Linked DNA regions of Macaca fascicularis. The main gene of each other region encodes a partner of the protein of the gene in region 3 in a complex. Links are inferred from orthologs where the notes say so. Each region holds a gene or a part of one and is shown on either strand. Other genes may lie near its edges.

Region 1 (3,570 bases), on a different chromosome or scaffold from region 3:
ACGTAACTCACAGGGGTGGCTATTCACAGCAGGGCCAGGCCCTTGGGTCTTACCTTGATAACACTGACTGGATCCTCCAGCAGTCACCTGGCAGGCAGACTTTAGTTCTAGAGAACCCACGGGTTGGGTACCACAACCAGGAAGGGGTTGGGGAGGCACCAGGTGGGGAGGGTCAGTGGTAGTTTCGGTGAAGTGACTCTGCTGTGGCGCTTGACTGTTACTCTTCTCATTAGTTCCTGCTCAGAAAACAAGGGAAGAGCAGAATAAAGTTCAGCAAACTAAGTGAAGGGATCGTATGTGTGGAGGTGAGGTCAAGAGAGAGGGATCATCACCATTCCAGTGAAGGATTCCTAGAGAATGTAGCATTTTAACAGTTGCTTAAACAATGGGGGAAGAAAGTAGAGTCCACAGGAAATAGGAGAAAGGTTTTTTATGAACCATAGGTGTAATGTGAAAGAAGGCTCAGAAGCAGATAATACAATGGAAAAGTGAATGAATCAACACATTCTTTATTAAAAGGGCTTCCAAATGTCTCTTGTAAAGTCCACGCAAACCCGGAGTTCTGAGGCATAAGCCACTTTACCTTGCTCTGGGGAAAGGGCAAGACCACTGAGCGCTTCCTCCAGCTCCTGGATTTGTTTGATCAACTTCTGACCCTTGTCTGGAAGAGCCTGGATGTTCACTGATGCCAGTGTGCTCTGCAAAACAGATTCCATCAAATGGATCTCTCTTTTCACACTGTTAGATGAATAGTTTCAGATTAAAATAGCCTGAAACGCCCAAACTCTGAAATTATGCTCTTTTAAATATGTGTGTAAAAACCAGAACCTTTTTAAAATTTTAACCCAGCTGGCTTACCAATCTTGAAAATATAAATAGGGGAAAAGGCAGAAACTAAACACACACCTATAAAACCTTCAATATGAACATATTTAACCCTTCTGCAGCAATGAGATCTCATATCTGCCCATAGCAAGCAATGCTCTGACCTCAAAAACAAAACACGAGTCAACAGTTACCTTCTTTTGTTTCAGTTGTGTTGTAAGGTAGACACGGTGGGCTGCTGGGTCTGAGGGCTCCACCTTCTTGGAAACACCTGAGGCCGGAGATACTTTTCTTTGCACACTTCGATCAGGGAATTGGAGGTTCTCCTTCGTCTGTAAGTCCAGAGTCGAGTCAAAGAGTAGGGGGCTCCCAGGCTTAGAGGAAACAAAAACAACATCATCTTCCTCCTCATCGTCACTGCTTGTGGCAGCTTCATGGCCCTCACCCAGGGAAAGCCCTGGTGCTGCTGGTGCAGCCTGAGCCACTGGTCCTCCAGGAGCAGGCACACCGTGGGTCTCCGGCCGCTCTTGGAAATGCCCCCGAGGCAGGCTTTTCTGCGTGGCCTGTGTGCTAGGGCCATCCTTTGCCTTTGTTTCTTTAGCCTCCCAGTTCTTGTACCCCTTGTTGAGGGGTCCCCCTTTCTGGGGCTTGCTTATTGAGCTGTGACTGTGAACGTTTTGAGGCAAAAGCTGGGTATCCTTTTCTCTCAGAGGTTCTGATTCTCTTTGGACATCTTGATTCTTACCACTTGATTTCTCCTGAGAAGATGCAGATGGTCTTGTAAGCTCATTACCTTGGCACTGTTGAGATTTAACTTCAGAAAAGTCTCTTTTGTGAGTGCCTCCAGTCTCCTCTGCCTCACACTGAATCTCTGCTCTCTCCTCTTGCTGCTTCTCTTGAACTACAGGTTGTTTTTCCTTTGGTACCAGGCCAGATGAGAGATCTTTCTCCATCGATTCAGGCTTCTGTTCCTTCTTTTGATTGAAAAGCTGATCTCCCTTTTCTCTTTGCTTCTTATCAGCCATCTTTTCCTCACCTTCACCTTTGATGAGCTGTTTCCAGAGAGCTGGTTCTTGATTCTTGTCAAGTACCTTGAATGGATTTCTCAGCCGGCTGGAAGAATGATGAAATGTCTCAGATGCATGCTGAGACTTATTGGGGACAGAATGTTCTTTGGAATCAGGATCCTAAAGACAAAATAATTAATCTTCATATAAAATATTAATGCAAATGTCCTATCTAGAATGCCTTTCCTTTTCATCTCATCTTTTATTTTATATACAGGGGGCACACATGCAGCTTTGTTATATGAGTATATCGCACTCAGGCAGTGAGCATAGTGCCCAAGAGTTTCTTAACCCATGCCCTCCTCCCCTCTCCAGTAGTTCACAGTATCTATTGTTCCTATGTTTATGGGTGCTCAATGTTTAGCTCCTGTTTGTAAGTGAGAATATATGATATTTGGTTTTCTGTTCCTGCGTTAATTCACTTAGGATTATTCTGCAGAAGAAATGGAAACACAGTAAAAGCAGTCCAATATTTCCTGAACATTCTTGATACCATTTCCACGTCTAGAAAAGATGACATGCCAGACCCACAAAAGACTCATTTCTTCACGGTACTTTCAATGCTTCATTCCTTCTCTGTCCATGATCACACTTTTCCAGACCTCAAGGAAAAGTAGTGACAAACCAAAGTGCTTTTACAATCACAATGGCCACAGTGTATACTTTTCAGAAAAAAACTGTTCTCTTCAGATGAACTACGGCCGGGCGTGGTGGCTCACGCCTGTAATCCCAGCACTTTGGAAGGCCGAGGCGGGCGGATCACAAGGTCAGGAGATCGAGACCACAGTGAAACCCCGTCTCTACTAAAAATACAAAAAGTTAGCCGGGCGTGGTGGTGGGCGCCTGTAGTCCCAGCTACTGAGGAGGCTGAGGCAGGAGAATGGCATGAACCCGGGAGGCGGAGTTTGCAGTGAGCCGAGATTGCGCCACTGCACTCCAGCCTAGGCGACAGAGCGAGACTCCGTCTCAATTTAAAAAAAAAAAAAAAAAAAGATGAACTTTTCCCCAAACCTAATTGTCTTAAAACACTTGCTTTGATTTTGGCTTTAGGAAGATTTTACTGTGGTAATATAGAATCGTAAGTTCAAGCCATACCTCTGCCAAAACAAGTCTTATCATCTCCCTGGTTCTAGTTCCTTATGTACTGAATATCTATAGGCCTTCTCCTATTCAGAGGAGACGCTCCTCCTAGTTCGAACATTCTAGGAGCTTATACCAATATCAAGTAGAAATTCCTCTATAAAAAGATACAAGAGTTAGTCAAGGAAATCTATTTTTTTTCTTAAGTAAAAGAATGCTGACTGCATTTAAGACCTCAAATAAATATTTGTATTAGTAAATATTTATATTTACTAAGTGAATAGGATGCAAATAATTAATCTTGATTACAACCAAATGTTCCTTTGAATTAAAGTCCCAACAGGGCCTACCTTGCTTAAAGAAAACTATCTTTCAGGACAGTCTGATGAAGACCAACTCGTTTATGTGAACTTCAAGGTACTTTCAGGTGATGCTGCATATTAAAAGTCTTAACACAACAGGTTTGAAAACAGATGAATAATTCCTACCTGCCATGGAATACTTCCACACCAGCGTTTCCCCTCTGCCTTACTTCTAATGCATCGGAAGAACAATCTAATGAAGTATAAAACACAAATAATCAAGGCTATGAAAATCC
Region 2 (4,362 bases), on a different chromosome or scaffold from region 3:
TGCATTTCTACAAAATCCTCAGAAATTTGCTGTTGATATGACATTACATATCAACTCAGATACATACTATGTTTCCTTCCTGCTTCAAAGGTATTCCCTTCCCCTGAAGTTCCATACCAAAGCCCAAAATCTCTTTATGACAATGGAGATATTTTTTTCTTTTTTTTTTTTTTTTGAGACAAGGTCTCCCTTTGTCACCCAGGCTGAAGTGCAGTGGAGCAATTATCACACAGCTCACCGCAGCCTTGGCCTTCCAGGCTCAAGCAATCCTCCCACCTCAGCCTCTTGAGGAGCTGGGACTACAGGTGTGCGCCACCATGCCCAGCTAATTTTTTAATTTTTTGTAGAGACAGGGTGTCACTATGTTGCCTAAGCTGGTCTCAAACTCCTGGCCTCCGCCTCCCAAAGAGTTGGGATTAGAGGTGTGGGTCACTGGGCCCAGCCAAGATTTTTTTCAAAGGCAATAAAACCCCAAGTCAACCCAGAAGTCAGGATCATTGCATCAAGATCGCCAGTGGAACTAACTGCCCTAAAAATCAGAATCAAAGGCATGAGTTCTTTTTTTCTTTTTGAGATGGAGTCTCACTGTCTCCCAGGCTGGAGTGCAGTGCACCACCTCGGCTCAGTGCAACCTCCATCCCGGTCTCAAGCGAGTCTTGTGCCTCAGCCTCCTCAGTAGCTGGGACTATAGGCACTTGCCATCACACCTGGCTAATTTTCGCATTTTTGGTAGAGGCAGGGTTTCGCCATGTTGCCCAGGCTGGTCTCGAACTCCTGGCCTCAAGCAATCCGCCCACCTCGGCCTCCCAAAGTGCTAGGATTACAGGTGTGAGCCACCACGCCCAGCCAAAGGCATGAGTTCTTAACCAGAGGTCCATGGACTCCTCAGGGCTACAAGGTAGTTTTATGAAGCCCCTCAAACTGCATGCAAAATATGTGTACATGCCTTTTTCTGGGGAGAGGGTCCATACCTTTCATCAGAGTTTCAAAGATATCTGTGACCTCCAAAAGGTTAAGAAGTGCTCTAGAGAAAAAGCAAAGACAAGCAAATGTGATTAAAGAGCGAGTTCTTTTTAGGCTGTCAAGAGTGCCTAATGTTCTCTTAGACTGTAACACTAAAACCAGGTCAGAGGACTTTATGTAAAAGTTACTTATCCAATCAAATACAAATTTAATATAGACCTGACAAATACAGATTTGATGGAAGGAGGAACTCCATAAACCAACACAATCTATAAATGTAAGTAAGTCATCGGGCAGCTGGTGACTTACTCCAGGGATTTCAAAAATAGGACAAATAGGAAGAAAATATTAGCTCTTCTATTCACAGTTCCTTTTTATCTCATTCAAAAATTCCTTTTCTGTGTATGTTTTATAACAGTATGGAAGTATACAATTTCTATAAGTACAGTATATATACACAAAGTGGAGATGATTGCTCAATTTTTTTTTTTTTTTACTCATCACAATATCAGGAGACCACTGATATAATCTATGCATTTCGGTACCATCAAGTTAACAATAACTCCAGAATAACACAAAAATCCACTAATAGAGTTTAGAATCCAAGAGTAAGAAAACACTAGCTTTCGCAGAAAGACTAATTGGGGTCAACTAATAAGTGACTAAAGAAGGGTCCTCTCCCTACCCTTACTACCCTTAAGCTTTCTTAAACAACAACAACAAAAAACAAAACAAAACAAAACAAAAAACTCTTCAAACTTTAAAGGATCACTTTTCAGTTTCAGCTATATCAGCCTGGTTTGTCCAAAACATGTAATGAGAAAACTACTTGTGAAACCACAATCAAGATTATCTTAATTTACCCTAAAAGAAAATATTTTTTAAAGTTTTCTGCTTTTTAATATATTTTTAACGTTTTTATATATCTAGGTGTGAGAAAACTACCAAGATTCTCACAAGACAATTTAAAACAGCTTCTGTGATTCAGTGTCAGCCAATGGTAACACCAGGAGATGCAGGGCCCATCCGAGATATGAAATGGAAAAGAGATAATCTTAACCTTGGAACTGTTTTTCCCAAATATTGCAGGTATGAGTTCTCTCTGGTGGTAGGAGATGGTGCGTGAGGAAGGCCGGCGGGCCGAGAGCCGCGTGAGAGAACTCGAAAACTTTTAAATCAGAGGTGTCTGTACTTTTACTATTCTCAAGGTCTCCTCAATCCCAGGCTTCTAAGGCGAGACCGATCTTTTCTGAGAGGCCTCTCCCTGGTTTCAAAATTCGGCCTGGGGGCATAATCCCACCTAGAAAAGGGGAGTGGAAGTATTTTCTGAGTGTCTGGGACCTATTTAGAGAGAAATATAAAAAAATGCCACCATTTGCTAACAGGCGAATCTCAGCTTCGGACGACAGACTGGAAACATCATCCCAGGGAAGAAAAACGGATCCTGGGTCGGACATGGGGCAAAAAGGAGGGACGAACTGACGTAATGCAGCCCTGAAAAGCAACGAGGAGTATAACAGGTAAAAGGCACTTACACAACCCGATGGGGAAGGATGACGGACGATACAACGATGAAAGGAGCAGAAATAAATAAATATAGCAGTAAAACCGTGAGGAGAAATGGGAAATTAGGGAAGGCGTAGTGTGGAAGGGTGGCACAAAAGAGCTACAGTGGGAGCCGAAAAACGAAGTGGAAAAGGCTGCAAAGACAACACGTAGGAGAAGGCGCAAGCTACCCTGTAGAATTCAGTTCCTAGAAAAGTCCAACTCAGCCCTTCCCCGATTCACTGTACCTTCAGCTTATGGAGCTCCACCGTTTCGGTCGCCATCTTGTTACCCCTCACTCCACTAGGCCCCCACCCGCTGCCTCCGCCTCCAGGAGCTCCCGCCTTAGGCGTAGAGATGCAAGACCGACCAATCGTTGTCACTCTTGCTCCCACGCCATACCATCAACTCTTCCCATTGGTCAATAGCTGACGTCGTTCTCACTTCTCTAGGCAGCTTTCCCCACCTCTTTCAAAAGGTGGAACAGGGAAAGGGGCGGGCACTGTATCTTGCGAACGACAGAAATGGCAACCAACTGTGCATCTGCATTACAGATCACCAACCAATGGGTGGTGGCAGCGCTGATTGTGTTCCTCCAATAGGAAAGGGGCAGACGGGGAGGCGTTACTTCCTGGAGACTTCAGGTGTGGTAGCCGGCGCTGCGCCCATAGCCGGGACGGGGATCTGAGCTGGCAGGTAGGGCTGCAAAGACCGTAAGGGTTGCTGAGGAAAAATGGTGGGCGAGGAAAGGGGCGCCGAGGAAGCGGTGACCTAAATATTGAGAGGGGAGCGCTGAAGGGAGCCCTGAAAATACCGACGAACGTGAGGAGGAAGCTGGGAGGGGCATGGGGCGGGCTTAAGGAACTGGCGGTGGGGCTGGGGCGGGCAACAGCCGCTTCCTAACCAGACATCATCAGCTTAAGGGCTACCACAATTTTAAAGAACCGAGTTCAGATAATCACTGCCGCCCCTGGAGTCAGAGCCAAGGCTCCATCTCTCCAGGCGTTGAGCTCAGGTCCCTTCCGAACCCAGTCCAGAAGCCGTGGGCAAGTTGTTGTCGTGCCCCCCGCTTGAGAGAAGTAATGGGGATGCTGACTGCTTACATGCCACGGAGGTGTGAGAGAGGGTGGACAAGCCCCAGAGAACAAAGTGGGGACCAGAGTGAGCTTTACTCTGTCATCCCTTCTTAGTGGTTCTTTGATGATTCCATGACTTTCTCCTGGAATACTGGGTGTGCGTGACCTCTTTATGGTTATTAACTTCTTCAGGAAAGTCAGATACTCCTATTTCCCTCGCTCACTGAAGGGAGTGCCCCAAGTCTACGTACACCTTCATGTTACAGTTGAAGTGTAAAGATCAGAGCAAAAATGACTGTGTCTCTAAAATGTAGTGAGGACTCTTCTTGTCTTTTAAAGTTTTCCCCAAGTTTTCAGTTTTTATTTTCTGCGTGATGGGTAAGTTCTTCATTCCCAATAGAGTTCAGGGAATTGGGGCTATCTGAGAGACAACTGGGAGAAAGCTCAAAGAGGGGTTGAGAAAAAACTGAGTTGGACTCCTGCCTGATCCCCCATTATGGCTAGGATGAATGTGGGGGTGGCGCACAGCGAAGTAAACCCCAACACTCGAGTGATGAATAGCCGAGGCATCTGGCTGGCCTACATCATCTTGGTAGGACTGCTGCATGTGGTTCTACTCAGCATCCCCTTCTTCAGCATTCCTGTTGTCTGGACCCTGACCAACGTCATCCATAACCTGGTGAGCACTAAACCGCGGCCTTGTACCCACCCCAGCGTTTCCCGACCAAAAGCAAAATAAAATCACCAATTGTTTGGGGATTTATGTGTTCCTTTTGGG
Region 3 (3,570 bases):
CTGTGGGGAATGTTCTATCCAAGCATGGGGTTCGTGATTTAGATCACAGAATTGAAGTCATTTATTATCGGCCCAGGTGTGTTTTTGTCAGTCACTTCCCTAGAGGGAACGATGAAGGGCTACACTCATGGTATGTCTCGGTCTACTTCCTGCCTAAGGTGTCTGTGCTGGTGATGTGTCACACTCGGGAGTTGGCTTTTCAGATCAGCAAGGAATATGAGCGCTTCTCTAAATACATGCCCAATGTCAAGGTAAGCCGAGGTAAAGAGACCTCAGAGTGAGGGTGTGGCAAGTTGGAGGGATAAGAAACTTGTAGGCCAGTAGTCTCTTTAATTTTGGAGAAGTTTTAGTTTGCCATGGTTTAACAGTGTTAAGATCCTATGTAACGGGAGGATTCGTAATTGGGCTATGGATGATGCTTAACCGAGACCACCCTTTTTTTACTACTTTATACTGACTTTGAATCCTATCAGTTTGGTAATTTTGGGGTGTGTGGCAGAGAAAGCCAGAAACTTTAAAACAGCTTCAGGGGTGTGTGAATATTGAGGATTCTGGCCAAGTGCGCAGCGGCTTACACCTGTAATCTCAGCACTTTGGGAGGCCAAGGCATGTGGATCATTTGAGGTCAGGAGTTCGAGACCAGTGTGGCCAATGCGATGAAACCCTGTCTCTACTAAAAATGCAAAAATTAGCCGGGCGTGGTGGCACACACCTGTAGTCCTACCTACTTGGGAGGCTGAGGCAGGAGAATCGCTTGAACCCAGGAAGCAGAGGTTATAGTGAGCTGAGATTGTGCCACTACACTCCAGCCTGGGTGACAGAGTGAGACTCCCATCTCAAAAAAAAAAATCTGATTGAAGTTAAGCATTTTTGGCAATTATCCTTCATAGGTGATGCTGTATCTCCTGTTGTGCCAGAAATCGGGTTGACTTATGTTAGTTATTTTTATTTTTATTTATTTGTTTTGAGATGGAGTCTTGCTGCGTCCCCTGGGCTGTGAGTGTAGTGGTGCGATCTCAGCTCACTGCAGCCTGCACCTCCCAGGTTCAAGCGATTCTCCTGCTTCAACCTGCTGAGTGGCTGGGACTACAGTGTGCCATCATACCCGGCTAATTTTTTTTTTTTTTTTTTGGTAGTGACAGGGTTTCGCCATGTTGGCCAGGCTGGTCTCGAACTCCTGACCTCAAGTGATCCACCCACCTCGGCCTCCCAAAGTGCTGGGATTACAGGTGTGAGCCACTGTGCCTGGCCTCATTAGTGATTTTAGGTTTACCATAGGATTAGCATCGTGACAGTCTGATTCCATGGTCATTCTTTTCCCCCTTAAAACTAGAGTTTCTGGTGTTATTTGACACTGTACCAAGGCCCAGATCCCTAACCAACTATTCACCTAATGGTTTTAACATGAAGTGATAATATTTCACCCAAAGCAGTAATTTCATGGGGTTTGTATGAAGGAGTTTGAGATTCTGGGTTTATTTAGGAAAACTTAATGTTCCATGTGTTTTTTTGTGGTACTTTATACTAATCCTGGTAATTTCTTGCCGTCCTTTATTTATTTATTTTTTATTTTTTGAGATGGAGTCTCGCTCTGTCATCTAGCCTGGAGTACAATGGCTCAATCTCGCCTCACTGCAATCTCCACTTCCTGCATTCAAGCGATTCTCCTTCCTCAGCCTCCTGGCTAAGTTTTGTAGTTTTTGTATTTTAGTAGTAAATTTGTAAATATTGTATTTTAGAAGAGATGGGGTTTCACCATGTTGGCCAGGCTGGTCTTGAACGCCTGGCTTCAAGTGATCCACCTGCCTCGACTTCCCAAACTGCTGGGATTACAGGCGTGAACCACCGGGCCTGGCTTTATTTTATTTATTTATTTATTTATTTAGAGACGGAATATCACTCTTGTTGCCCAGGCTGGAGTACAATGGTGAGATCTTGGTTCACCGCAACCTCTGCCTCCCGAGTAGCTGGAGTTATAGGCGTGCGCCACCACACCTGACTCCTTTATTTTTAAAATGAGGCTTGGCCTCATAAATGAAGGAAGATGGTTAGATTAAGTCAGAAGAACTGAATTATTGTCCTGACTGCTCCGACTAGCTATGTAACTTTAGGCAGTCACCCTCAGTGTTTGGTGGGGGGACATAACATTTCTAAATTAGGTGACCTCTAGAGTTAGTTTTAGTTTTGAAACATGCTAAAAATTGGTTTAGCTCAAACAGTGGGAACTCTGGGGGGATTGGACTCTTTCCTTCCTCTTTTTTGAGACTCTTTGCTCCTGGCTCTCGGCAGGTTGCTGTTTTTTTTGGTGGTCTGTCTATCAAGAAGGATGAAGAGGTGCTGAAGAAGAACTGCCCGCATATCGTCGTGGGGACTCCAGGCCGTATCCTAGCCCTGGCTCGAAATAAGAGCCTCAACCTCAAACACATTAAACACTTTATTTTGGATGAATGTGATAAGATGCTTGAACAGCTCGGTGAGTGGCAGTGCTGGGACTTGGCTAATGCTGGGGAGTTGTTCTTTGGAGCCAAATGATGTTTATTTGAAACAGGAGCGCCTCAGTGCAAGGACGACTCTTATCTATCACCCATGACTGATGGCTCTGGGTTCCCTGGTTGGGCTTTATTATGCTTTTAAGCACAGTAAAGGATGTCATCTATCATCTTTCTATGATTTTTGTTTTTAATCTTTGAGAATAGGGGACTTCGGTAATTTCAGGCCTAAGTTATCACCACCACCACCGTTTTCATTATAGATTCCTATACTGGAAGTCATAGGGGAGATTCTAAACTGAAAGAGAAGACAGTACCCTTCTGGCATCTCCAGCACAGCATTTACAGTCAGAATTTATAGCTGAATAAGTTTCTAGACTCAGGTCTGGGATTAATGTAGAGAGGGTAGCAGTTCGTGTGGTGTGGTATTCTAGTGTGCCAAGTGGGGTTAATGGAAGTTTTTTCTGTAAGATTTGAATCTTGGTGAATGAGTGTGGGGTTGGACATAGGCCCCATAAGTCATTACAAATGGTCTTCGGCAATTCAGTGTGGTGAGTTATAAAGGTGGGCTCCAGGTAGCAATGTCATATTTGCCTGAGTTGATAGAAAAGTGATCCAGAGAGTCATAGATGGACTCTGCTACCTGGAATGTAATATATGGTTGATACTTGTAGTCTCCTGAGGGCTGGCTGGGGCTTGGACAGGAAAGGATTGGGAGAAGGGCCTGTAAAGCATGTTTCGAAGGCCTTGAGAGCGTCTGCACTGGGCTTTGTCCCCGTTTTATAGTTGGGAACTTTGGGGTTTTATCTTATTTCTTGCTTGGTTAAAACGAACAGCTGGAATCTGATCCCAATTCTTGATTCCAAGTCCATTGCTTTTTCCGTTGTGTTATTACTATTTCCAGCAATCTTCACCTCACTGGAAAGTCTACCTCTAATCTTTGTTTATCATACTTGCTTATTTTCTCCTACAATTTTTTTCCTTGTTCTTGTAGACATGCGTCGGGATGTCCAGGAAATTTTTCGCATGACCCCCCACGAGAAGCAGGTCATGATGTTCAGTGCTACCTTGAGCAAAGAGA
Region 4 (3,570 bases), on a different chromosome or scaffold from region 3:
CATGGTTCTTCTGTTTGCCCTTTGCCCTCGCTGCCCACTCCACCTCACATTCCATTTCAGCCTCCTCATCCTCTGCCTAACTCAAATGTTGGAGTAACATCAGGACTCAGTCTTAGCCTCTTTATCTAGAACCTTCTGGGTGACACCACAGTCTCATGGCTTTCAATAGGAATCGAAGAGTAGTGGTTTAAAGGCAAGAGGCCTCTTGTCAGAATGCATAGGTTCCAGTCCCCTCTACCACTTACTTATTAGACTAAGGCTAATTTAATAATTGAATCGCCATCCTCCCTTTCCTCATCTGTTAAATACTAACAGTACCCATTTCACAGGGTTATTCTGAGGATTAAATAAGACAGTTCACTTTCAACCATACAGGGCATGTCGTTAGCACTCAATATTCGTTACTAGTGTGACCCTGTGCCCAGAGTTGTTAATTACTGTGACCTCTGTGACCTCTTCACTGTTTTCTCTAGCAGTGGTCAGTGCTCCATGTATCAGCCAGTGATCTTTAAAATAACTGTCCAAGTCTGATCTGCTTAAAATCTTCCAGTTAGTGCCTGTTCCAAAGTCCCTCCCAGGGTCTAAAAACCTCCTTGGTCTGGCTTATACTGTCCTGTGTAGCTATGCCTTCCCTCTGCTCTAACCACAGCAGGCCTGGTGCTCTTCACTTCAAACGTCTTTCCCTTTCCGGTCAGGACCTTCACACTTGACTGTCTCACTTGCTTGAACCACTTTTCCCCCAAGGTTCCCATGGCTTTAAGTCCCCCTGGAAGCTCTTCCCCTCCCTGGTCTCCTCTGTTGCATTCTCGTGGTTTTTATTTCATGGCACTTACCACTATCCAAATGAGAAGGTGGCACTCACCACCTTCTCATTTCTCGTTTTCCTCATCCTTATGAAATTATCTTATACCTTGTGTGTTTATCACTAGCGATGCCTGCCAACACATTCTGCATTACTGTGCCTCAGGTACTCTCCACAGCTACTGAGTGCCTGGCTCAAGTGTTTGTCAATTGAAAGAATATTTATCACTGTTACGTAAGACTAGATGGACTCATTCCTAAAGTGATAGTTCAAATTATTATCTCCAAAGAGGGTTTTGTGGAGAATAAGAAAAATGATATATATAATTGACAGTGAATTTTGAACATGCCTAAAATAATCAAATCGTTTAAACAGAGGTATGTCAGAGAGGAAGGCTCTTAACTGTTCGGGCAAAGCCTCACAGCAGGTGTTGACTTGGGAAGAGTCCTCAATGTCTAGGGGTAGTTTTTGTTAAGTCTTCAGTGGTACCTGCACATCCTAAAGGTAACACACGCTCATTTATAAGAGATGACCAAATAAACCAAATTGCTATTCTTAGGGGAGGGAGAGACTTCCAATCCAAAACTCTTAAATGGAATAAATTGGTGGTTTGGTTTCTTCTGCAGCATTGCGTATTTCTGGAGCATTATCTTTAGAATTTCTCTGCAGTTTCTGTTTCTCACCTGATTGTATACCACCTTGATCATTGTTATACTTCATTAGGGAACAGTTCATGGATTCCGAATAGCCAGATGGATGATTCCTGTTGTACACATACTGCATCTAGCCAGTACTGCACACACTTGTTGACTTGTTAAAATTAAACAAAATGTATGAACTTTGAAAACGTGTTTGCTCATATGAGCCTGCCTCTTCAGACATTGTTGGTTCCTGTTATTAGTTATGTGTGTATCTGTTGATTTGTTATTATCAGTGGACAACATCCCGAAAAGTTCTTGAGGAATAAGATTCCAATCAAAAGAATGGTACTTTGAGCTATTTACCTTAAATATAGAATTGCACGTGGCAGAACTAAGCAGAAGGGAATACAGAAATACAAAACTATGAATTACAAGCCTGACATCTCTTTTTATAGGGCTGTGAACAATTCAAATTATGGTTGGAGAGCCCTGAGACTATTAGCACGGAGAAGCCCTCACTTCTTCCAGCCAACCAACCAGCAGTTTAAAAGTTTACCAGAATATCTTGAAAACATGGTAATAAAGCTAGCCAAGGAATTACCGGTAAGTACCATAGATCAACTTTTCATGCCCTTTAGTTGACATCATCTTTAAAACTGCTATCACTATGTGAGCAAAAAACTGACTTAATCATGTGAAAAACCAGTGGTCCACAAGCTCCCATGTTTTAGAATGAGGGAAAAACACACTGGAATATACATTTACAGGAAATACATGAGTTGATAAAGAAGTAACTGATAATTTTCTGTACAGCATGTAATTTAACTAAGGTTCAACAGGGCTGGGCGCGGTGGCTCACGCCTGTAATCCCGGCACTTTGGGAGGCCTAGGCAGGCAGATCATGAGGTCAGGAGATTGAGACCATCCTGGCCAACATGGTGAAACCCCATCTCTACTAAAATATAAAAAATTAGCCAGGCGTGGTGGCAGGTGCCTGTAGTCCCAGCTGCTGAAGAGGCTGAGGCAAGGGAATTGCTTGAACCCAGGAGGCAGAGGTTGCAGTGAGCCAAGATTGTGCCACTGCCCTCCAGCCTGGCGACAGAGCAAGACTCCATCTCAAAAAAGTATATAAAATTCATGGTACTTTAGGTAAACTGTTATGCACCTATACACACAGACAGGAATTTTTTCCTGTTTGCCAATGCAGTATATTGTCTTTTATCAAAGGTAAAAGATAAGAATCAGAAACTTTTAAGGACACTGTTGCTACTGGCTTCCTTGAGGCCATCTTTACTAAACCCTGGGTATTTGCAAATCCTGGAACTGTGCTTTTCACGGCCTTCCTGCTTCCCAGATTGGGGGTGGGGAGTCTTTCCAACTCTGGGGTCTTACCAAGTTCACTCCTTCTGCATGTGAAGACAGTCCCACTTAGGATCCTTACCTGACACTGTCTAACGCTCTCAGGGGTGAGGTTCTGGCACCCTGTACTTGGAATCTCACAATCATCTTTATCTAAACAAAGTACTTGTTACCGTACTTCAGAGGCTGGCATTCTTTCAAACATTCTTCTTTCTCATTTTTAGCCTCCTTCTGAAGAAATAAAAACAGGTGAGGATGAAGATGAGGAAGATAATGATGCTTTACTGAAGGAAAATGAAAGTAAGAATTTAATTTTCTTGGTTATTTAACAAAATTGAAGAAGATTGGGGTTCTTTGTTGATAGGTACATTATTTAATCGGCTTCTCAACTTCTCCCATTTTATCTCAACTGTTTCTGACTTACAGTGAGGAATGTAAAACATTGCTTAATAATAACTTTAAAAATACTACATTTTATGCAATAAAATTGGGGAGTAATGATACTTTAAAAGGGAAGGAAAATACATTTGAAGGTGACCCATACCTTTGTTAATTATTGGTTACTGGAAGGGGAGCAGTTCATTTCAGGGAAAGCCTACATAATTTTAACAGAGGTAACAGCTTTAGCTTTGATTATTGACCATGCTTATTAAGAGTGGTATTCAGCTTATGGAGAATATAAAAAATAATTGTTTGCTTTTAAAATAAAGTCTACTAAAGGTGGTTAATAAAACTCATTGGCCCCATAGCTTTCCATTTCTGTTGTAT
Region 5 (4,174 bases), on a different chromosome or scaffold from region 3:
GCGGCGGCGGCGCGGCGCGGCTCAGGCGTCGGAGCAGGCGGCCGCGGGCGCCGCCGCCTCCTCCTCCATGGCTGTTTACCCGGCTGCATTGTGGGAGTTTGACCTCCGCCGCCGCCAACCGCCGCCTCAGCTTGCGCCGCCGCCGCCGCCGCGCACGCCATGGGAGCCGTGACTGACGGTGAGGCCCCGCTCACCGCCACCCGCGCCGGCTGCACAGCCTGTTCGGCCTCCCCGGAGACCCCTGGCCTCCCAGCCCGCTTCCGGGAACCCCTCGGCCTGCCCCGGCCGCTTCGCCCGAGCGCTTCGGCCTTCCAGACCCCTCCCCGAAGCCCCGGGCCTCCCCGGCTGCTTCCCTGAGTCCTTCCTCTCGCCAGAGGCCGAGCGCCCCTCGGAGCCCCTCGGCCTCCCCCGCCCGCTCTCCCGAAGGCAGCGCGGGGCTGTAGGGTGTGCCGGGAGCGTGGTCGGTGGGCTGGGAACACACGTGGGTGGCCGAGACGGCTAGAAGCGGTGCAAGGGCGGGTGGGACCGGAGGGAGTCCGGGTTTGTCTAGGGGCGCGGTGAGGGCCCAGGAGCCGCGAATGGTGGGCGGTGGTGCCGGGCTTGGGGCTGGGGGCCTGGAAGGTTTCTGGAGGACTAGGAGGGAGTGGGAGCTCCAGGGATGGAACGGGAGTTTCGGGACTCGTCTACAAGGGATGTCAGAATACGGAGCGTGACACCTGGAGGGGTCCTGGGGCATATTGGGAAGGACTCACAGACAATGGAGTCGATGGCAATGAGGCCTTGAACTGCGAGTGGATTGTGGGTGAGGAGAGGGAGCAGGGAATTATTTATAAAAGGAATACAGAGGGATGAGGTATCCGGAGGGTAATGAGGAAGTGTACCTGGGAGATTTACGGGGGGTAAGGAGGAGCCAGTATAGTGATGAGAAACCATCTAGGGTAGGTCAGGAGGATAGAAGATGTATATGTGTTTGTTGGGGAGGGTGATTTGTCAGCTGGAATGGATTTAGAGGGGCAAAGACTGGGTTTGTGGACTGTCTAAGGGAGATGGTCTATGGAGTGAGAGCAGAAATAAGGTGACACTTTGGGGAAAGGGGAAGGGGCATGATCGGCAACTGGAGGGAGAACCTACAAGTTATCTGATTAGGGAGGAAGAAGGTCCTTTGATATCTGGGAAGGGGAGATCTAGGGCTTTTGGGTGTTTTTCAGGAGAGGGTGACCAGTAACTAAATGCCTGTGGAGAGGCCACTTCTGAAGAGTTGAAGACCACCAGGGTCTCCACATTAAAGGGCCTGGCCATGGGAAGAACAGTGATAGGCCCAAATTTGCAGACTGGTAAAGAGTAGTGGAGGTGGAAGACTACTAAAGACCCAGGAACTTCATGTAGAATTTCAGCTTTGCTTCATTCCAGTTTCATTTATTTAGTGGACATTTATCCTTCCTGGACTAGGCTTTGGGATTACAACCCAGAACCAACAAGCAAGAACTTTTCCCTCTCCAAAATTTCGGTCGGAAGGGAAAGAAACATTGACTAATGAGTTTTAAGAGTGACAAATATTACCACAAGGAAGTACAAGGTTGGTAACTGTAGGAACATGTAACAAAGATTATCCAATCAATGGAAATGAGAAAGCTTCCCCAAAAAAGATAATCCCATTTTTGAAGAATAAATAGATGTTGGACTGGTGTTCTGGGTTGGTAGCCACTTGTACAAAGGCCCCAAGATGTTGGAAGAACTCAAAGTTGACAGTTATTGCTAGAATTTAGAAAGTTATGAGCCAGAGAGTTCTAAGGGCAATGGGAAGCCATTAAAAGTTTTAACATTGGTGTTGTGCTAATCAGATTGGCATTAACACACACACATGGCCGGGCACAGTGGCTCACGCCTGTAATCCCAGCGCTTTGGGAGGCCAAGGCAGGTGGACCTCTTGAGCTCAGAAGTTCAAGACCAGCCTGGGCAACATAATGAGACCCCATGTCTACAAATACAAAAAAATTGGTCTGGCACAGTGGCACACACCTGTGGTCCCAGAACTTGGGAGGCTGACAAGAGAGAATCACTTGAGCCTGGGAGGTCGAGGCTGAAGTGAACCACGATCGCATCAGTGCACTCCAGTCTGGGTGACAGAGTGAGACCCTGTCTCAAAAAAAAAAAAAAACAAAACCGCATACACACTGTCTCTGTTATGTGCAGAATGATTAGAGGAAGAGAAAGTGAGGAGCTAAGTTTCCTTACCACTTACTAACGTTTACATGGTGCTGTCAGGTAATATTCTAATTGTTGTCCCCATTTTACAGATGAAACAGACACAGGTTAGCTTGCCCAAGGTTGCACAGATAGTAAGTCATAGAGGGTCAAAGGCAGGGAGACCACCTGCGGAGTTCCCGCTCTTCACTATTATGCCTCCTGTGTCTCCTATTTCTGCAGTGGCCCTGGTGAGAGACAATGAGGACTGTGACCAAGAGGGAATGCAGAGAAGAGGACAGGTGGGAGGGAAATTTGTGAGGCAGAATGTCAGAACTTCGGGTATTGAATGAATGCGGGGAGAAGGGGTTTAGGATGATCCCAGGTTTTTGACTTCACTGTGTGCCTGTTAGCACTACTTTTCTATTTATTGAGATAGAGATGTCCAAAGGAGCGATAGGCTTTGTCAGATGGGAGATAGGGACAGAAGATGAGTTCTGAAGTACTGACTGCAGTAGAGTGCCCCACCACATCCTTAGAGTCCACAGGAATCTCTACCCTGCCACTTACAGACTGTCTCAGCTTCGGTCTCTGAATGGAGATAATAATAAAATCTGTGTCAGCGGATTGTTTTGAGGATTAAACACAAAAAGTTGTAAAGGGCTTTGCATTGAGTCCAACACATAATAATTAATGTTCAGTAAATATTATTAAATGTCAGAGTAGTTTTACTAATCTGTCTTCCACTTTCCTTTGATGTGGACTGTGCCTTCTCTCTTAATCTGCACAGGTTGCCTTTTCCTGCCTTTTCTATCAGGTGACACTCCACTTTTTCCTCAAGACCCAACTCAAAAATCCCCTCTTTCCTGGAAGTAGTTGACCCTCTGCCTATTAGCCATGTTATTTTATGCATATTGCTGCTGTCACCCTTAATACTTTATTTATATGCCTTATGCTAGAAAAGATTTAAGGCAGTTCACCGTAATGAGAAAATGTACAAATTAAATGGATTAGAAAACAAGACAAAAAGAACACTGAAATTAGGAAAAATAAAGGGAAGTCAGAAGTGGGGTGATCCTCAAAATGCAGAAGGATAAAGTCTAGTACATTAATTAACCAAGCTGTAAGTGACCTGTTTCTCTAATAGGCCATGCCGAGAGGCAGTACTTCATCTACTCTGTGGTCTAGTGTTCATGAAAGAAGGCAATCTTAGATGCCCAGGAAAAGCACTTTTTTTTTTCTGATTTGAACTAGAGGAAAAGTTTGTCATTGAGGTCCTTATAAATGAAAGCCAGTGTCATATCCTTAACCTCTTTTCAGCACTGAAGATCACAGAGCTGTTTTGTAGCACATCCCTTGCTAGGTAAAAGAAGGTTAAATCACAATTAGAAAGATTCTAAAGCCAATAGAGGCTGGGTGTGGTAGCTCACACCTGTAATCAATCTTAGCACTTTGGGAGGCTAAGGCAGGAGGATCACTTGAGCCCAGGAGTTTGCAACCAGCCTAAGCAACACAGCGAGACCTCATCTCTACTACAAAATTTTTCAAATTAGCCAGGCGTGTGTGGTGGTGTGCACCTGTGTCTCAGCTACTCGTCTCTACTAAAAATTTTTAAAAATTATCCAGGTGGAGTGGCACACACCTGTAGGTAGTCTCAGCTACTCAGGAGGCTGAGGCGGGAGGGTCACTTGAGCCCAGGAGTTTGAGATTGCAACCAGCCGTGATTGCACCACTGCACTCCAGCCTGTCAACAGCACTAAACCCTGTCTAAATAAAACCAATGGACAATTTGGTTTAGGTGGGTAGTGGGTAGCTCTGCTAATCTGGCTTGATTCAAAGCAAGGTTTTTTGATTGAATATCTAGACCATAAGGGAAAGACAAACTACAACTTCTTCAGACAATCCTCTATAAACATGGTTTTTATCAGCTCAGCTTTTGAAAAAATCAAGCTGAAATGAGTGGTATGTGTGATCAGTCAGCAAGTATTTA
Region 6 (4,246 bases), on a different chromosome or scaffold from region 3:
CAGGCGAGGTGGTGGGTGCCTGTAGTCCCAGCTACTCCGGAGGCTGAGGCAGGAGAATGGCGTAAACCCGGGAGGCGGAGCTTGCAGTGAGCTGAGATCCGGCCACTGCACTCCAGCCTGGGCGACAGCGCGAGACTCCGTCTCAAAAAAAAAAAGAAAGAAAAAAAAAAAAAAGCAAAATCCCTTATTGAGGCCGGGCATGGTGGCTCACGACTGTAGTCCCAGCACTTTGAGACACAGAGGTGGGCAGATCACTCGAGGTCAGGAGTTAGCGACCAGCCTGGTGAAATCTCATCTCTACTAAAAATACAAAAATTAGCAGGGCGTGGTGGCACGCGCCTGTAATTCCAGCCACTCAGGAGGCTGAAGCAGGAGAATCGCTTGAACCTGGGAGGCGGAGGTTGCAGTGAGCCGAGATGGTACCACTACACTCCAGCCTGGGTGATAGAGCGAGACTCCATCTGCAAAAAGAAAAAAAAGAAAGAAAGAAAGAAAGAAAAATCCCTTAATTGAGCAGGACACATAGTTCATGCCTATAATCCTAGGACTCGGGAGGCTGAGGTGAGAGGATCACCTGAGCCCAGGAGGTCAAGGCTGCAGTGATCCGTGATTGCGCCACTGACTCCAGCTTGGACAACAGAGCCAGACCCCGTCTCAAAACAACAACAACAACAAATCAAAAAGCGAGAAAAGAGAAATCCCTATGTAGGTCTGCCACAAAATAAACACGGATGGCAGGTGTGGAGGGAGGACATGGAAGCGCAATCGAGGACGCAAAGGTGCACCCCCCGCAAGAAGGATTAAACAGTATTTAGGCCAAGTTGGGAAGGGGAGGAAGTGAAGAGGAAAACATGGACGGGCGGTGGTGTTGGCCAGCGCAGGATGGGAGAGGAATGTGCTCCCAATACTGGGCCTTGGCGGGAGCATTTACGGCACTTTACAACTCTCAGACTGGGCGACTGGCCATGAGGGGAAAACCAGTGCAAATTCCCCAGGCCCAGTTGTCCGGAAGAAGACGAGGCAAGTCCGCGTAAAGATTTTTAGACGATGTACCTTGCCTAAGGAACAGAGGGGCAAGGGAATTCGGAACCCAAATCCCCTCTAAGACCCTGATTACTAACTAGTAACCCAGGAGGTTGCAGCTTAACCACTACGGGAACTTGAAGTCCCGGCACGCCCCGATAGGGCCATTGTCACGCCCCCAGGGGGCGGGGCACTGCTTATACCGCTAAGGTAAAGTTTGCTGAAGTTCACCCTAAGGCTCCGCCTCTGATCCCTGCGCAGGCGGAGCTCAAATCTTTCACGCCCTCTAGTCGTGAGCGGATCTGACGCCTGACGTAATGGCGTAGACGCCATTTTAGCCGGTCCCACAAGCACTGCATGTGGCGGCCATTTTGTTTTGGACACCGAGCCGGAGCTGGCGGCCGCTGCAGACGAAAGGCAAGAAAGGGCAGGCCGGGTGAGCAGACGGATCGGCCGGCTAGACAGCCAACCAGCAACAACGAACTGAGCTCGCATACTACCGCTTACGCATCTGACCAACCGCCCATCTAGCTAACCCGAGCCCCTCCACCGTCAACTCAGGTTCGGCCGGTCCCCGGCCCGCCTGCCGGAGCCGTGGTGGCAGCCCCGGGAGGAGCACTGGCGTCTGTTTCCTTCGGTGAGTTTCTGTAGGGAGAAGGAGCGGGGTGGCGGGGTCTTGGAGAGCGGAAGGGGCTGGCGGACGCGGAAAGGGGGTGGTGGCATGTGGACACAGCTACGGTGTTGGAGCGTGGAGGCCCGGGGGAGGAGGCGGAGCCCCTGCGAAGGGGCGGGGGAGGGGCTGAACTGGAACCTGGTGGCGGGACTGATGGAGGTTGGGGTTTGATAGGGATTAAAAGGAAACTTGGGTTGAGCAAAAGTGGAAGTCTTGATAGGGCTTTGAGGATGGTAGGGAGATTAAGAAATACAAGACTTTGAGGAATGTTGGAAATTAATGGCGGCTTTAGGGTTAAGTTTTGTGGAGGGCTCTTTGCGAGCTCATTCCCCAGGTGAATTTAGAAAACCTTTCCTACGCACTCCCCGAGATCATTAGTTTATTGTTACAAAAGTCTCTACTTGATTCTGGAGTTGAAAGCCAATTTTTAAACTAGGCTTTTTTTTTTTTTTTTTTTTTTTGAGACGGAGTGTCGCTCTTTTTGCCCAGGCTGGAGTGCAGTGGCACGATCTCAGCTCACCACAGCTTCCGCCTCCCGAGTTCAAGCGATTCTCCTGCCTCAGACTCCCGAGTAGCTGGGATTACAGCCATGCGCCACTACGCCCAGCTAATTTTGTATATTTAGTAAAGACGGGGTTTCTCCATGATGGTCAGGCTGGTCTCGAACCCCCAACCTCAGGTGATCCGCCCGTCTCGGCCTCCCAGAGTGCTGGGAAAACTGGCGTGAGCCACCGCGCCCGGCCCTGCCTATATTTTCACTCTAGATCAGTAGTTTTCAACTTTAACTGCACGCTAGAAGCACCTAGGTAGCTTTCCCTCCACCCCACAATTGTTCATTTCCAAACCTCGTTACTAGAGATTGTGGTTTAATTGATCTAGGCCCAGATATCTGTATTTTTTATTTTTTTAATTAATTTATATTTTTATGGAAACGGGGTCTTGCCATGTCGCCCAGGCTGGTCTTGAGCTCTAGGGCTCGAGCATTCCGCCCACCTTGGCCTCCCAAGGTGCTGAGATTACAGGCGTGAGCCACCGCGCCCTTTGAAAGCTCCTTGGATAAGTCATATGTAGTCAAGATTGAAAATGACTGCTCTAGAGAAAAAGCCAAACTCGACCGGGCGCGGTGGCTCACGCCTGTAATCCCAGCACTTTGGGAGGCCCAGGTGGGTGGATCGGGTGAGGTCAGGAGCTCAAGACCACCCTAGCCTACGTGGAGAAACCCCGTCTCTACTAAAAATACAAAAACAATTCGCCGGGCGTGGTGGCACATGCCTGTAGTCCCAGCTACTCAGGAGGCTGAAGCAGGAGAATCGGTTGCACCAGGAGGCAGAGGTTGCAGTGAACCGAGATCGCACCACTGCACTCCAGCTTGGGCGAGAGAGTGAGATTCCGTCTCAAAAAAAAAAAAAAAAAAAGGCCAGACTCCATACTTTGATTGCTAAATTGGGTTCTGCCGTTTTTGAGAATTTCCTGGGTATTTTCTGGGCCTTGGAGTTTGTTTGGGGTTGGTTGGTTGTTTTAAAGAGTTGGGGTCTCTCTCAGGCTGGAGTGCAGTGGCGTCATCACAGCTCTTTGCAGCCTCCAACCCCTGGGCTGTAGCACTTCTCCCACATCAGCTCCCCCTGAGTAGCTAGGACCACAGGTGCTGGCCACCATGCACTATTTATTTATTTATTTTCTTAGTAGAGACTCGGTCTCACTTTGTTACCCAAGCTGATCTCTAACTCCTGGCTTCAAACCATCCTGTGCCCTCACCCTCCCAAAGTGTTAGGATTACAGGTGGTGAACCACCACGCCCAGCCACCTTGAAGTTACAGTAATGTGAGGTAACTGCCATAGAAATTTAAGCACTTTTGCACTTTTGCTGGGCATGACACCTCATGTCTGTGATCCCAGCACTGGGAGGCCAAGGTGGGAACATCCTTTGAGGCCAGGAGATTACAGCTGCCGTGAGCCACTGCAGCCAAGATCATGCCACTGCATTCCAGCCTGAGTGACAGAGTAAGACCCTCTCTCAAAAAAAAAAAAAAAAGAAAAAGAAATTTAAGCACTTGAAATGTGCCCTCATGTGCTCTTAAGTCATCAGTGATAAGGCCTTTTTATTTATTGTTGACTTGGGCCTTGCCACTTATAGAAATGATGTGGTCACTATTGTGATTTGCTCATTTTACGTATTGTCCTTTGTAGATTCTCGGGATTTGAAGATGGCTGCACAGTCAGCGCCGAAAGTTGTGCTAAAAAGCACCACCAAGATGTCTCTAAATGAGCGGTGAGGCAGCCAACAGCAACTTCAGCTCCTTCCTAAGAAAACATTACTTAACTTGGCCCTGGGGTCCAGTGCACAAAGCCAGTTTTAAGCTAAATACCAACAGAAGGCTACAGACCTCTGTTCTTAGTTGCATCTCATGTGGTACACAAAACAAATTGGGCGGTTGTTTCAAAACCCCTTATCAGTAGACTTTTATGTTAAGCTGTCTGAAATATTTATTTGGTGGGATGTATTTTAAAAGACTCCTAACACCCTCCCTTTTCACATTTTTTTACATTGAT
Region 7 (4,242 bases), on a different chromosome or scaffold from region 3:
AGACTGAAGCCTTCCTTTGCTCAGCAATCTTTATTCAGTTCTTCTTGGGGGTGGGATGCCTCCCTTCCCATGCTCCCACCCCTCCCATCCCAGAGCTCCGTTGGGCTCAGTGTCCTCTGTTGAGGGAAGGTCTTGGTGCCCAGATGCCTGGTCTGCAGGAGAGGGAGGAACCTTGTCCCTTTGCAGGAGTCGCTGGTCTCTTCTGTTGTGGGGAAGAAGGAAGGTGGGAGGGGCAGTCCACCAGCACTCAGAGCTCCGTTATGTCTCCAGCTGGGGTTGCAGGGTAGGGGGGACTGGGGGTGTCCCCCAGCCTCAGCAGACGGAGGGCCTCGGGGATGAGGCTGCCAGGGTAGCGCCAGAGAAGCAGCTCAGAGCAAGGGCTTCTAGAAGAAGAAATGACTGTCAGGGCATGGGGCTAAGGCTGGCCTAGCTGAGCACCTCCCACCAGGTCCAGGTCCCCAGGGACTCCTGGGTTCCCAGCACTTTCCGAAGAGCGAAGATGAGAAACAACCCAGAGGTCAGCTAGAGCTAAAAATGGCACGATGAGGCAGGGCCTGAGGTCAGCTGCGAGGACCGCCTGTGATTCTGCAGAAGGCCTGGCCAGTGGAGGAGCCTACCTGAGTGGGGGCAGGGCTTGGGGGAAGGCCATGGGGGGGCTGCAGTAGGGGTGGTCATTGTGCAGGCTGAGTTGAGAGAAGTGGGTGGCCATGTTCTCCTCAGACAGAAAATGCTTGCGCAGAGGCTCCCTGGGGAGAGATGGGAGAGAGGCAGGCTGGGATATTGAGACAGGAGGCAGCCTGTTGGGGACCAGAGGTGACAGAGCTCTCGTTGGGAGTCCCTCCCTGCCCCCAAACTCACTGCTCCTCCTCCAGGCGCCGCTTGGTGCTCATGGGCACAGCTCCTCGGAGAGGGGAGCTGGGGAAAAAAGAGAGCCTGGTGCACCCCACCCTCTTGGCCCCTTCCCAAGGATATGCCTGCCTGAGCCTGCAGCATCAGCCAGGAGCCCCAAGCCCATTACTGTCTCAGCTGGTGCTGGTCCCCCCTCTCCTGGGCCATCCAGCAGCGTACTTCGGAAGTCTGGACCCTGAACTGCAGCCCCAATACCATCTCAGCTCACGCCTAAGCCCCACCGATTCGCCCCACCCCGTGTTCATCCTGCAGACCAGCCCTGAGCACCCAGCCAAAGCTCCTGCGGCCCTTGGTCAGGCCCACCCTGGTCCCCCACACGCACCTGGCGTCCAGGCCCCGAGTCACCCCCAAGGCGGCCCGCGGGAGGCGCTGGGCCCCACCCTGGGGGCCTCGCTCCAAGGGCTGCTGAAGGATCATTGGGTTTTGGGGTCCTGCGGGTGGGATCTGGGCGACAGGGGAGGAGTCTCTGAGGGCGTGGCCCAGCGAGGATGGGCGTGGCTTTAGGCGGGCACAGCGGCGAGGTTCTGCGCGGGCGCCGAAGAAGGGCGGCGCGTGGCGGAAGGCAGGCTTGCTCCTCGGGGTGGGGGAGGGTATCCGGCTTAGCGGGGCTGCGGTGGACACCACTTCTTAATGTCGGGGGTCTTCGCGGCGCTCACCTCGGCTCCTGGGGTTCAGGACGGTACGCAGCAGCCCCCTTCGCGCCGAAGGCAGTAGGGCGCCACGGAGAGGAACCGCTGTAGGCACGTAAGGCCTCGTGAAGTTGCGTCGCACGCGAAGCACTCTGGGACTTGTAGTTCTGGAGATGGAGCGAGCTGTGCCGCTCGCGGTACCGCTGGGTCAGGTGAGACGGACGTGGGGCGCGTTGCCTTCTGGGATTTGTAGTCCATTCATGGCTGGGACGGGGCGGGCAGGGAATTGTGCCCTTTGAGTCCTATTTTGCCTGGGCTATTTGTGGAACTCAGACGCTGACCGGGGGGCGGGAGAGTAACCCAGAAGTGCCTCAGGGGCTTAACGCAAGTCAGAGAGTAGGGATTATAAATCAGTACGTTTTTCTATGTTGGGGTAGTAGAGCCACCCCTATTTTTTTTTTTAATTTTCTAGTTCCTGCAAAGCACTTTTTTTTTTTTTGAGACGGAGTCTCACTCTGTCAACTAGGCTAGAGTGTAGTGGCACGATCTCAGCTCACTGCAACTTCCGCCTCCTGGGTTCAAGCGATTCTCCTGCCTCAGTTTCCTGAGTAGCTGGGACTACAGGCGTGTGCCACCATGCCCAGCTAATTTTGTGTTTTTAGTAGATACAGGGTTTCACCGTGTTGACCAGGCTGGTCTCGAACTCCTGACCTCAGGTGATCCTCCCGCCTCAGCCTCCCAAAGTGCTGGGATTACAGGTGTGAGTCACCATGCCTGGCCACATTTTTTTTTTTTTTTTTTGAGACAGAGTCTTGCTCTGTGCCCCAGGCTGGAGTGCAGTGGCGCGATCTCGGCTCACTGCAAGCTCCACTCCCCCGGGTTCACGCCATTCTCCTGCCTCAGCCTCCCGAGTAGCTGGGACTACAGGCGCCCACCACCTCGCCCGGCTAATTTTCTTGTATTTTTAGTAGAGACGGGGTTTCACCGTGTTAGCCAGGATGGTCTCGATCTCCTGACCTCGTGATCCGCCCGTCTCGGCCTCCCAAAGTGCTGGGATTACAGGCTTGAGCCACCGCGCCCGGCCATTTTTTTTTTTGAGATGAAGTTTCACTCTTGTTGCCCAGGCTGGAGTGCAATGGCTCCATCTTGGTTCACCACAGCCTCCGCCTCCCAGATTCAAGCAGTTCTCCTGCCTCAGTCTCCCAAGTAGCTGAGATTACAGGCATGCGCCACCACTCCCAGCTCATTTTGTATTTTTATTTTTTTTTATTTTTTTTATTTTTTTTATTTTTTATTTATTTTTTTTTTTTTTTGAGACGGAGTCTCGCTGTGTCTCCCAGGCTGGAGTGCAGTGGCGTGATCTCGGCTCACTGCAAGCTCCGCCTCCCGGGTTCACGCCATTCTCCCGCCTCAGCCTCCCAAGTAGCTGAGACTACAGGCGCCCGCCACCACGCCCGGCTAGTTTTTTGTATTTTTAGTAGAGACGGGGTTTCACCATGTTAGCCAGGATAGTCTCGATCTCCTGACCTCGTGATCCACCCGCCTCGGCCTCCCAAAGTGCTGGGATTACAGGCTTGAGCCACCGCGCCCGGCCTCATTTTGTATTTTTAGTAGAGATGGGTTTCTCCATGTTGGTCAGGCTGGTCTGGAACTCCAGACCTCAGGTGATCCGCCCACCTCGGCCTCCCAAAGTGCTGGGATTACAGGCGTGAGCCACTGCGCCCGGCCCCACATTTTTAAATTTTTTGTTGAGACGGAGTCTCACTATTTTGACCAGGCTGCTCTCGAACTCCTGGCCTCCCCAAGCAGTGGATGACAGGCATGAGCCACCACACCCGGCTTCAGCACTGAGTGACAGCCCCATGGAAAGCTCTTGTCTATACACTAGCTCATCTAATGGTGATGGAATCTTCTGTGAGCTCCACTTGACAGTTGAGGAAGCTGGTAGGAGAGTGCTGGGTGCTTGCTCAGAGGTCCCTGAGGCATCACCTCGACTCGCCCCTTCTTCAGTGTCTTCTTGGAGCCGCCCATGGGACTGCATGGGCAAGTGCTGGCTTGGGGCCGGGCCGCCTCAAAAGAGGGCTGAGAAGTCAGGACAGTGGGAAGCCTGGCAGGTGTTGGGGGAAGCAGGAAGGAGTCTGTGGCTGGGAGGTTTCATACATCCCAGGCAGGCCTCATCCAGTTCTTCCCTGCAGACAGAGGTGTTCCAGGCCTTGCAGCGGCTCCATATGACCATCTTCTCCCAGAGTGTCTCACCGTGTGGGAAGTTTCTGGCGGCTGGCAACAATTATGGGCAGATTGCCATCTTCAGGTACCCTCTGCCGCTGTCCACCCATTAGCCCTGGCACTTGGCCCTCATGGGACGGATGTCCCTGTTTCTGACTCCTGGGTCCCCTCCGCTGTCCCCTGCAGCTTGTCCGCTGCTTTGAGCTCCGAAGCCAAAGAGGAAAGTAAGAAGCCGGTGGTGACTTTCCAAGGTGGGTATAGCTGTGGAGTCTGGCTTCGGGACTTTGGGTGGAATTGGTCAACTCAGTTCTGCATTTCTCTTTAGCCCATGATGGGCCTGTCTATAGCATGGTCTCCACCGATCGACATCTGCTTAGTGCTGGGGATGGGGAGGTGAAGGCCTGGCTTTGGGCGGAGATGCTCAAGAAGGTAAGGAGTTGAGCTCGGGAAAGGGCTGGGGTGCCGGGACCCAGAGAGA

Evidence for each region.
Region 1: DDX39B (region 3) and TTF2 share a complex: the UniProt entries of both Homo sapiens proteins name them as parts of the spliceosome. The link is inferred for Macaca fascicularis from reciprocal best matches to the Homo sapiens genes DDX39B and TTF2.
Region 2: DDX39B (region 3) and SARNP share a complex: the UniProt entries of both Homo sapiens proteins name them as parts of the transcription/export (TREX) complex. The link is inferred for Macaca fascicularis from reciprocal best matches to the Homo sapiens genes DDX39B and SARNP.
Region 4: DDX39B (region 3) and THOC1 share a complex: the UniProt entries of both Homo sapiens proteins name them as parts of the transcription/export (TREX) complex. The link is inferred for Macaca fascicularis from reciprocal best matches to the Homo sapiens genes DDX39B and THOC1.
Region 5: DDX39B (region 3) and THOC7 share a complex: the UniProt entries of both Homo sapiens proteins name them as parts of the transcription/export (TREX) complex. The link is inferred for Macaca fascicularis from reciprocal best matches to the Homo sapiens genes DDX39B and THOC7.
Region 6: DDX39B (region 3) and CHTOP share a complex: the UniProt entries of both Homo sapiens proteins name them as parts of the transcription/export (TREX) complex. The link is inferred for Macaca fascicularis from reciprocal best matches to the Homo sapiens genes DDX39B and CHTOP.
Region 7: DDX39B (region 3) and THOC6 share a complex: the UniProt entries of both Homo sapiens proteins name them as parts of the transcription/export (TREX) complex. The link is inferred for Macaca fascicularis from reciprocal best matches to the Homo sapiens genes DDX39B and THOC6.

Annotation. Positions count from the first base shown.
Region 1 is NC_088375.1:117,327,082-117,330,651, forward strand, and holds part of TTF2 (transcription termination factor 2), read right to left. Parts: intron 3,528-3,570; coding exon 3,461-3,527; intron 2,013-3,460; coding exon 1,020-2,012; intron 699-1,019; coding exon 584-698; intron 237-583; coding exon 54-236; intron 1-53. UniProt on the Homo sapiens protein: DsDNA-dependent ATPase which acts as a transcription termination factor by coupling ATP hydrolysis with removal of RNA polymerase II from the DNA template. May contribute to mitotic transcription repression. May also be involved in pre-mRNA splicing.
Region 2 is NC_088385.1:62,604,837-62,609,198, forward strand, and holds the start of SARNP (SAP domain-containing ribonucleoprotein), read right to left. Parts: upstream 2,814-4,362; 5' UTR 2,793-2,813; coding exon 2,757-2,792; intron 1,025-2,756; exon of another isoform or gene 972-1,024; intron 1-971. Other genes in the region: ORMDL2 (ORM1-like protein 2), read left to right, coding at 4,090-4,263. UniProt on the Homo sapiens protein: Binds both single-stranded and double-stranded DNA with higher affinity for the single-stranded form. Specifically binds to scaffold/matrix attachment region DNA. Also binds single-stranded RNA. Enhances RNA unwinding activity of DDX39A.
Region 3 is NC_088378.1:140,193,159-140,196,728, forward strand, and holds part of DDX39B (spliceosome RNA helicase DDX39B), read left to right. Parts: intron 1-158; coding exon 159-251; intron 252-2,289; coding exon 2,290-2,473; intron 2,474-2,523; exon of another isoform or gene 2,524-2,599; intron 2,600-3,483; coding exon 3,484-3,570. UniProt on the Homo sapiens protein: Involved in nuclear export of spliced and unspliced mRNA. Component of the TREX complex which is thought to couple mRNA transcription, processing and nuclear export, and specifically associates with spliced mRNA and not with unspliced pre-mRNA.
Region 4 is NC_088392.1:68,899,225-68,902,794, reverse strand, and holds part of THOC1 (THO complex subunit 1), read left to right. Parts: intron 1-1,898; coding exon 1,899-2,046; intron 2,047-3,026; coding exon 3,027-3,102; intron 3,103-3,570. UniProt on the Homo sapiens protein: Component of the THO subcomplex of the TREX complex which is thought to couple mRNA transcription, processing and nuclear export, and which specifically associates with spliced mRNA and not with unspliced pre-mRNA.
Region 5 is NC_088376.1:126,941,351-126,945,524, reverse strand, and holds the start of THOC7 (THO complex subunit 7), read left to right. Parts: upstream 1-1,351; 5' UTR 1,352-1,533; coding exon 1,534-1,576; intron 1,577-4,174. UniProt on the Homo sapiens protein: Component of the THO subcomplex of the TREX complex which is thought to couple mRNA transcription, processing and nuclear export, and which specifically associates with spliced mRNA and not with unspliced pre-mRNA.
Region 6 is NC_088375.1:107,531,533-107,535,778, reverse strand, and holds the start of CHTOP (chromatin target of PRMT1 protein), read left to right. Parts: upstream 1-1,396; 5' UTR 1,397-1,660; intron 1,661-3,883; 5' UTR 3,884-3,900; coding exon 3,901-3,965; intron 3,966-4,246. UniProt on the Homo sapiens protein: Plays an important role in the ligand-dependent activation of estrogen receptor target genes. May play a role in the silencing of fetal globin genes.
Region 7 is NC_088394.1:3,820,404-3,824,645, forward strand, and holds the start of THOC6 (THO complex subunit 6), read left to right. Parts: upstream 1-1,427; 5' UTR 1,428-1,711; coding exon 1,712-1,750; intron 1,751-3,315; exon of another isoform or gene 3,316-3,585; intron 3,586-3,733; coding exon 3,734-3,849; intron 3,850-3,950; coding exon 3,951-4,015; intron 4,016-4,089; coding exon 4,090-4,193; intron 4,194-4,242. Other genes in the region: HCFC1R1 (host cell factor C1 regulator 1), read right to left, coding at 248-383, 618-746, 859-915, 1,232-1,326. UniProt on the Homo sapiens protein: Component of the THO subcomplex of the TREX complex which is thought to couple mRNA transcription, processing and nuclear export, and which specifically associates with spliced mRNA and not with unspliced pre-mRNA.